3 linked regions of the Oryzias latipes genome follow. Each later gene encodes a partner of the first gene's protein in a complex. Links are inferred from orthologs where the notes say so. Each region holds a gene or a part of one and is shown in the gene's direction. Other genes may lie near its edges.

The links. Proteins that work in one complex are often made in the same cells at the same time.
Region 2: taf1b (region 1) and tbp share a complex: the UniProt entries of both Homo sapiens proteins name them as parts of the transcription factor SL1/TIF-IB complex. The link is inferred for Oryzias latipes from reciprocal best matches to the Homo sapiens genes TAF1B and TBP.
Region 3: taf1b (region 1) and polr2k share a complex: the UniProt entries of both Homo sapiens proteins name them as parts of the pol I pre-initiation complex. The link is inferred for Oryzias latipes from reciprocal best matches to the Homo sapiens genes TAF1B and POLR2K.

What each region holds. Positions count from the first base shown.
Region 1 is NC_019882.2:22,300,528-22,303,461, reverse strand, and holds part of taf1b (TATA box-binding protein-associated factor RNA polymerase I subunit B), read left to right. Parts: intron 1-257; coding exon 258-355; intron 356-428; coding exon 429-521; intron 522-769; coding exon 770-875; intron 876-1,753; coding exon 1,754-1,907; intron 1,908-1,974; coding exon 1,975-2,074; intron 2,075-2,156; coding exon 2,157-2,304; intron 2,305-2,380; coding exon 2,381-2,555; intron 2,556-2,638; coding exon 2,639-2,676; intron 2,677-2,747; coding exon 2,748-2,835; intron 2,836-2,934. UniProt on the Homo sapiens protein: Component of RNA polymerase I core factor complex that acts as a GTF2B/TFIIB-like factor and plays a key role in multiple steps during transcription initiation such as pre-initiation complex (PIC) assembly and postpolymerase recruitment events in polymerase I (Pol I) transcription.
Region 2 is NC_019861.2:24,478,842-24,481,722, reverse strand, and holds the end of tbp (TATA-box-binding protein), read left to right. Parts: intron 1-7; coding exon 8-175; intron 176-652; coding exon 653-747; intron 748-978; coding exon 979-1,058; 3' UTR 1,059-2,302; downstream 2,303-2,881. UniProt on the Homo sapiens protein: The TFIID basal transcription factor complex plays a major role in the initiation of RNA polymerase II (Pol II)-dependent transcription.
Region 3 is NC_019869.2:7,020,610-7,023,136, forward strand, and holds the end of polr2k (DNA-directed RNA polymerases I, II, and III subunit RPABC4), read left to right. Parts: intron 1-425; exon of another isoform or gene 426-620; intron 621-843; 5' UTR 844-849; coding exon 850-910; intron 911-1,624; coding exon 1,625-1,717; intron 1,718-1,841; coding exon 1,842-1,864; 3' UTR 1,865-1,948; downstream 1,949-2,527. UniProt on the Homo sapiens protein: DNA-dependent RNA polymerase catalyzes the transcription of DNA into RNA using the four ribonucleoside triphosphates as substrates.

The sequences.
Region 1 (2,934 bases):
AATCATTCCTTCTTGTTTCTAAAGGTCTCCGTGGTGCATTAAAGCGTGTTTTGGTTTGTCTTCCTCCAGCATCCTCTGATCTTCAGGCTCCTCCATGAATCCTTGTTGCTTCTAAACTCTGGAACTCTCATTCAGACATTTGCTTCGTTTCCAGTTTTAGATCTTTGAAAATGCTTTTGGGTTCCTCTCAGTTTGATGGCAGTGCCCATCTGAAACGTTTGTGTTTCTTTGTCTCACACGTGTTCTGTGTCGTTCAGGTGGCCGTCACACATGGATGGTCTGTGAAGGTTTCCAGTTCATCCTGATGAACCAGGCGGATGCCCTGCTTAGGCTGGGAGTCCATCCTCACTTCAAGGTCTGAATCTGTCCGTATTGATCTGCCATCGATGCCTGAGCCCGTCTGATCAGTGTGTGGCTCGCCGCTTTAGGACGGCGTGCTGCGTCAGCTGTGGAGGCTCTACTTGCAGAAGAGCCGGCAGGCTTACTGCGTCAACCGAGTTAGGAGCGCCAAGTTCAGAGTGGTCAGTTTCAGTCTGTGACTCACCTTCCTTTGAAAATCTGTGCTGAGATAATCATATACATGATTTCAATGAGTACTAACACGGATGTTTATTTATTCATATGCTCTCCATGCTTTTTCATAACTGGAGGGATATCAGTTTAGTCTGAATTTTTAGATCCACTCAAATGCAGGAACAAACATAAATGTCTTCAGAGGAAGAGTGATGATGACTGCAGCAGCCTTCTGTTCTGTCCCCCCCCCCCCCAGGGAGACGCAGACTCGGATTCAGACAGCGCAGCCGAGGCGTCTGTGGCATCAGCCAGCGGGACGGATGGAGAGTCAAATCCCTGCAGCAGCCCCAGCTCTAAAGGAGGTATGTTTGACTCCCCCAGCAGGAGCAGCTGGGGTCAGCCATGAAGTCTTTGGTCACTGGACTATGGAGACGCCAGACCTCAGATCTCTGCCGTCTGGGGGACTACAGGGGGGTCTGACTTTGAAATGAGTGAATTATTATTATTATCTAATTATTGAATTAGACTACTGACAGAAAGTTGGAGATATTACTAATAACTAAAAATTAATGAGAAAAAAACATTTTCATTAGGTTAATATTACCCCTAAAATGAGGACAATAATAAAAATAGCCCCAAATAACAGAAATGTCAATAGTGGGTATTTGCAGCATTTGCATCAACAGCAGCTTGACAGTGACGTCTCCTCACCAACCTCATGGTGTTGGTCTGAACCAATCTTCCATAAGTGCTGCATGTAGTTCTGCAGCTCACTTGGGGGTGGGATACCATCATCCAGTCTGCTTCAGCTGGTCCCAGACGTTCTCTATGGGTTTCAGGTCAAGGGTCATTGCTGGTCATACCACATGAGCTACTCCCACTTCCTGAAGTCCTGCTGTGACAGTACTGGTACCATGTGATAGGGTGTAATCATCCATGAACAGAAAGCTGGGGGTGTTCTGGTGGAATTGGGGGATGAGAATGGTTCTATGATGTCTCTGAGGTTAGAACATTCAGTGACTGGGTCATTTACAATAACCAAATCAGTTTGACCCTGACTGGTGATACCTGTCCAGACTGTTACACCTCCTTCCCCAAAGCCAACCCTGAGGACCTTTGACCTCGGCGTATCGCTCACCACGTCTCTGTGTATATCACATCCACTGAGTTTGTTGTTTTTTTCACAATATCCATGACGTATTGTGAGTATTGTATGTTGAAATGTAGCCTAATCCCTCAGGCAGTGACTGGTCTGGATCAGCGGACAGCCTCTGTTACCTGACTCCCCGTCAGAGGCGGAGCCATAGACTCCTGAGCCTGAAGAAGACTCTGGCCCTGATCCACTTGGCCTTGGTCTGGAGCCGGGAGGCGCTGACTCTCAGCGACCTGCTTGGGTAATCTGCTCCTCCAAACCAGGCGTTGGACTGCTGGATGTTGGGCTGATCCTGTGTTTGCTCTCAGACTGGTGAACTGTGGAAGCGTCCCGTATGTGAAGGCCCATGAGCAGCTCCCAGAGCAGATGAAGCTGTTCGGCAAAGATGCTCTTCTGTTTACTGCAGAGGTAACGACCTGGAGTGAGTGAGCTGCTGACCTCTGCCCTGTGTTCTCCTGTTTGTTGACGATGTGGTGAACTGTCTCTGCAGACGGTACCGTCTCACCGCTCGCTGCATAAGGAGGCTCAGGATCTGCTTCTGTTCCTGCAACTTCCAGCGTTTCCTCCCATCAGCCAGCAGACTCTGCTCCACCCGGGGCCACTGAGCCTGCGCTACCTGATCGATGCAAACCTGCCCGGTAACAGCTTCCTCCGTCCCAGCTGACAGACAGACATGCATGCTGCGCGGGCTGAGCGGCTCCTTCCTGTCTGCAGGTGAGCTGCACAGGTGGGTCTGCAGAGTGGCGGAGCTCGCAGGTTTGTTCCATGAAAGCCGCCAGACGTTCCACCCCGAGTCCCAGCCCACCCTGCCCCGGTACGACCTGCAGGCGGCAGCGCTCATTATCGTCACCATGAAGCTCCTCTTTGGCCTGGACGACCACACCGAATGGTAACCCCCCCTGCCCTGCCCTCCCCACCCCCCTACATCCATTCCACAGACAGGTCGTCTCACTGCGGTTCTCCTGGTTTCAGGGAGCTGTCCAACAACGCCAGGTCCACAGACGGAGAGGGTCCGTGAGTGCCCCCTGTGTGTGAGTCCTCTTGGTGGGGGCTCTTCAAGCTCATGCTTTCTCTCTGACAGGGGCCCAGTTTAACCTGCGAAGGTGGTACAAACTGATGCAGACCGCTCTGAACCGAGCTCAGCAGAGGAGGGACCAGGACACAGCCAGGTGAGGTTGTTCCTCGGTTCCAGTTTGTCGGACTCCTGCAGATCCTTCAGGTCACTTCTGGCAATATTTTTAAATCTGACTTTTGGGCGCTTTAAATTC
Region 2 (2,881 bases), on another chromosome or scaffold:
TTTGTAGTGAGGAACAGTCCAGGTTAGCAGCTAGAAAATATGCCCGTGTGGTGCAAAAGCTCGGTTTTCCTGCAAAGTTTTTGGACTTCAAGATTCAAAACATGGTGGGCAGTTGTGATGTCAAGTTTCCCATTCGTCTGGAAGGACTGGTCCTCACACATCAGCAGTTCAGCAGGTAATTTCTCCTTGTTTTACTGCAGATTTAAAGAATCCGTATAAAAATCCCTGAAAGGCTTTTCAAAAATGTGACAGTTTAATCGACTATTGACAGTTATTGATAAGAAAATATGTTGGGACAGCTGTGCTGACACACATGCCAACTTAGGTATTAAACATATATGTTTAACATAAAAGAAAATATTAAGTAAAAAAATAAATCTGAATGGATGACAAATGATATAAATGTACTGAACAAGCACCACAATGATATGTATGCATCAGATTTTATTAATGCTCCAAAACCATCCATTTTTTAAACTGGTTTCCTGCAGTGTCTGTAAATCTGATAAGCAGGTCAGAATTGAACAAAATCCTAAACCACAATCTGACTCACAGACAGAAGTTTGACACTCAGATGGCAAACTATATATTTTTTTTTTATTCTCCTGGTTTTATTTTGCTTTTCTAAAATGAGGTAATATTTGTATTGCAGCTATGAGCCGGAGCTTTTTCCAGGCCTGATTTACAGAATGATCAAACCTAGAATTGTGCTGCTTATCTTTGTTTCTGGGAAGGTGGTACTCACAGGTAAGTTTTCACTAGACTTTTTTGTTTCCTATTGTGAGTAAAACAGGATGTTAACTGTATGTACTTATTGTTTACACTTTTATTTAGCATTTTTCTATTTTTTCTTTGTTCTCCGTGAAGTATTTAGAATTTTGTTGATGTAAAATTGAAGTTCCAAAACAGATTTTTAAATTCTTTTTGATGAGCTTTACCTTCTGTTTTTTAACTTATTGTATTTATTTCTATTTTTAGGTGCCAAGGTGAGAGCAGAAATCTATGAAGCTTTTGAAAACATTTATCCCATCCTGAAAGGATTCCGCAAGACTACGTAGAACTTATAATTCCCTGTTTTCTATCCAAACGCTATAACTTTTTACATTTCTGTCTATTTTTTCTTTAATATTCACTGAGATGTTAACATTTTAATATTGACCTCTTCAAGTTGACAGTAAAGACTTGAATGTGAAAGACTATTTGTCTTTCCCTTAATTTTTTTTTTAACCAAAAAGACATTTTAAAGGTCCTCTGCTCGTTTCCTCATCACAATTGATCTTCACCCGGAACTTTACCTGCTTTTAGCTTTTACATTTTCTTCTCTTCCTCGCTGGCAAGTTTTCTTACATCGAATTGTACGAAAATGTAAAAAGTATTGAAGAAAAAGGCAGGTAGACCGGGACTTTTCCTGGTTTTATTTCAGTGTTTCAGGTTTTGTATATATTGCAAACTGATTTTTTTCTATCTTTACTCGATTTATGAATGATTTCTCCTTATTTTTTGGGTCAACCCCTTGTAAACAATCTTGCCACAAAATCGATTAACTTTTCAAATTTCAAATTAAACTGAAGCCATACTTGTCCCCAGGTTACAGTGAAAGCCCTCATTTTATAACGAATAGAAACCATTTCAATAATTGAGTTATCCGATCCAGACTGTAGTTTGTTCTGCAATAATTTGCCTTTACCAGTCAAAGTCACCCCATGTTTCCATCATTGCTTGAAGCTTTTTATTTTTTATGAAGAAACTGAGCATAATTGTGATATCAGATGTGCTTTATTGTAAAACTTGTACAAATGTATATAACTTATTTTCAATTATTAGTCATTCAAAGTTGATAGGATGTTCCAAAAAGCTTAAAGCAAACAGGAAACTTGGAAAAATGATGTTAACAGGCATTCAAAACAATAATGTTCATTAGTCTGTCTTCAATTTAAATGCACCAAGACAAAGGAGTTTGTTTTTTTCTATAAATCTCTGCAGAGAGTGAGTTAACAGTGTAAATGCTCCTGCTTGTCCTGGTTTTTTTTCTTTCTTTCTTTTTGCAAAACTTTGTTTAGAAAAGTACTTATCACTTTTTGATTTGAGTTTCTGGCACTTGTTGATTTCATTTTCTCGTTAACCAACCTAAGGATTACCTTTCAGAAGCCAAACTTTTAAAATAAGTTTCAACTTAACGTCTGTTCCACTTATTATGGATGTTGTCACCAGAAATCCATTTTCCATTTGGATACCTGTTCCTCCACAACTGTTAGAGCTGTACTGTGCGTTAATAAACGTGTTCATACATCCTGTTCATAAAGCAGAGTTTTGTCTTTGTAACATCTGAGGTTTTTTTTACTTTAAGCAGTGTGTTTGCCACAGACTCATTTATTTATCTGAAACTATCTGGAGGAAATTTTTTGAAGTAAAAAAAACCCCTTCAATTTCTTCAAGTCTAGAAAAGAAACTTGAATCGGTCACATTGGGTGGAAACCTATAGAGTTCATAGGTCATCAGATCCATGACATTCAGTAGTTTTTATACAGTTTTCTGTAAGTATTGTTAAATTGAACACTTTGAAATTTGAGTAACATGGTGGTTCAACAGCACAATATGTAAGGTAAAAGAACCAATGGTTTTCTCTTAGTTCTATTTATAAGCAGTAAAACAGCTGCTGTTATTGGAGATGCATCTGAATGAACGGCCCAAACTGGTCTGTAGTGGCACATGACTTGTATTGGCTAATAAGGTCACGTTTAAAGTTTACTCGGTTGAAGTTGTCATTTCGTGAATTTGAAGATGTTTCCAAACTTTTCCGTTTTGGTGTTTGTTGTATTTGTGGTTTTTGGATTTGTGACAAATTTTCTCCTCAAACATCTAGGTTTTCCATCTTTCAGAT
Region 3 (2,527 bases), on another chromosome or scaffold:
TGGATTACCAGAACACTCCAGGTATGGGATCCTGCTCTATTTGAAGAAAGGTTTCAAATTTTAGAATGCTTTGTGTCCCGAAAGTCCAGAAGTTTTCCCTCCCCTGATCTAGTTGGATAATCTAGGATGCACTATTAGGGTAGTTGTGATTATAGCATTATGTGGTGTCTCTAAATTGCCCCTAGGTGTGAAGGCTTAAAATAAGTAATTTATTTGAAGTATTTTAATAATTTATATTACTGACCTTGCATCAGAATAAACTTTATTAAGAACTAAATGCAATGTAATAGACCCTGTGTTTTTTTCACTAAACTTTATTGCACATTTTTCAATCTACAGAAATTCACATTCAGTGACACAATAAAGAAACAATTGCAAATATCATAAACACATATAAAAACCAAACAACAATAGTAATTGGCCCTGTTTGTGTCTGTGACAATGAGCCAACGCACATTTCCTGTTTTAACATTCTATGCCATCATTGGTTCAGTCAATATAGTGGATCGACTTCTAGCCAATCATAACCCCCGTTATTTTAAGGTGACTGACTGTACAGCGCATGCGCAAGTTGCAAGCCAGTGAGACATGAGAAAAGCTAAGAGTTGTGGAAGCTAACGGTAAAAAAAACAATCGTAACTATTGTTATTCTGCTTGCTGTAAAATATTTTCTTTGGGGTTATTGATTCTATTTTTCCCACCCTGTTTGTTGTGGGACGATAACCTTTTGTTTGCTAAACGCCCCGTTTGTGTTGGTGTGGGCAGCTCTCTTGTTAGCAACACCATGCTTGTTCCGTTCAAACGATAGATGAGGCATTTTATTTCTTTTTTCGTTCTTTACAGGTGAAAATGGACGCACAGAAAGATTTGCAGCCGCCCAAGCAGCAGCCTATGATCTACATTTGTGGAGGTATGATGGCACTGTTTATGCAGTTAGCATAGCAATAGTAATTTCATCATCATGATGTTTTCCCATTTCCCTACACTACAATAATTACATTGAACGCTTTGATTTATTTATTTAAAAATTTTCAGGATTAAAGAGGTTGAACGAACTTTATAAAATATAGTACAGTTTTAAATAAAAAGAATGATTTAGAAAAAGGAAAACCTGTTTTCTACATTTTAGTAAAAGCACAGTCCTTTCACAATATTATTAAAGTTTTGCTAAATTAAATTTCCTCATGATGTGATCTGAAAATAGGATTATATAAATGTTTTTGCTGAATTGTGTGAAACTGTTAGCAAAATGTCTTCGCCAGAAACCAAAAGCAAACAAGCCTCAGAGATCCAACTTTTTTAACCGAACAGTTGGCATTAAATGTAGGATGCAGCTACTTTTTAAGCATCTGATAGTAGAAAGAAAAGATAGAAAGAAAGTTTTAAAAACAGACTCCATTTTTTAATTGACTCACACCCATTAAGTTGGAAATATTTGGGGCTCACTGCATCTTTTGCCAGTAGGACTGTAAAATTGATTCTTCAAACGGGGCTCTAAGTCATCCCAAAGGCCCTAAAAATGTCTAAATGACAATATTTGTGTTTATTATTACTGTTATACGTGTTGCTTCTCTCGGGCCTCTCTGAATTACATGTACCAACAGTTTTACTTTTTTCCTTTCAGAATGTCACACTGAAAATGAAATCAAGGCTCGAGACCCCATCAGGTGCAGAGAGTGTGGCTACAGGATCATGTACAAGAAGAGAACAAAGAGATGTATCCTTGTTTTTGGTCATAGTGTGGGTTTGGAAAATAAACAACTCTTTATTTCCACCAAAGATTATTAATTTAAATAAAATTCCTCAAATGTTTGAACTTTTCCTTGACTTTTTCCCCCCAGTGGTTGTTTTTGATGCCCGGTGAACAGGATGAATGAAGCAGATTTAACTTTTCTTTGGTTCAGTATTTAGTGTGTGAAATTGTAAATAAAAGGACACTTAAGCCTGACTTTTGATTTGTTTCTCATTTATTTTAGTATTCTCTTGTTTTATATTGTTTTCCATCCATCAAAAAAATTATTACATATTTGTAATCAAATTACAGATATATTTTTACAAGTCATGGGTAATAAACTGCAATAGAATCACAAACGAAATACAAGAATGTTTTTTTTAATGCACTGTACTTTTACTTTAGTGAGAGTGTAATAGAAAACAAAAATACTCTTAGTGGACACTGGTTGTGTTGGTCTAGATTTGTTTTTCATTTACTTTAAATTAGAGGATTTATTATTACCAACATTCTGATCAGTGTAATAAAAGATGATTTTATACACCAGCTGGTTGCAGCACAAGAATTATTGTTGAGGACTGTAGCTTCTCCCAAAATTTCAGTTAAGTGGTTGTGGAAGGTAGTTTCAAAATGTAACACTTTACAGATTACTAGTTAGTTTATAACTGCTAACAGCTTTTTTTGGTAGTGTAAAAATGCTCATTTTTGTTTGACAGTACTTTATTTAAGCTCAGAGACCATTCAATTTTTTTCTTTTTTTATGTTAGACCATTTTCTTTGAAATTTAGATGGTTA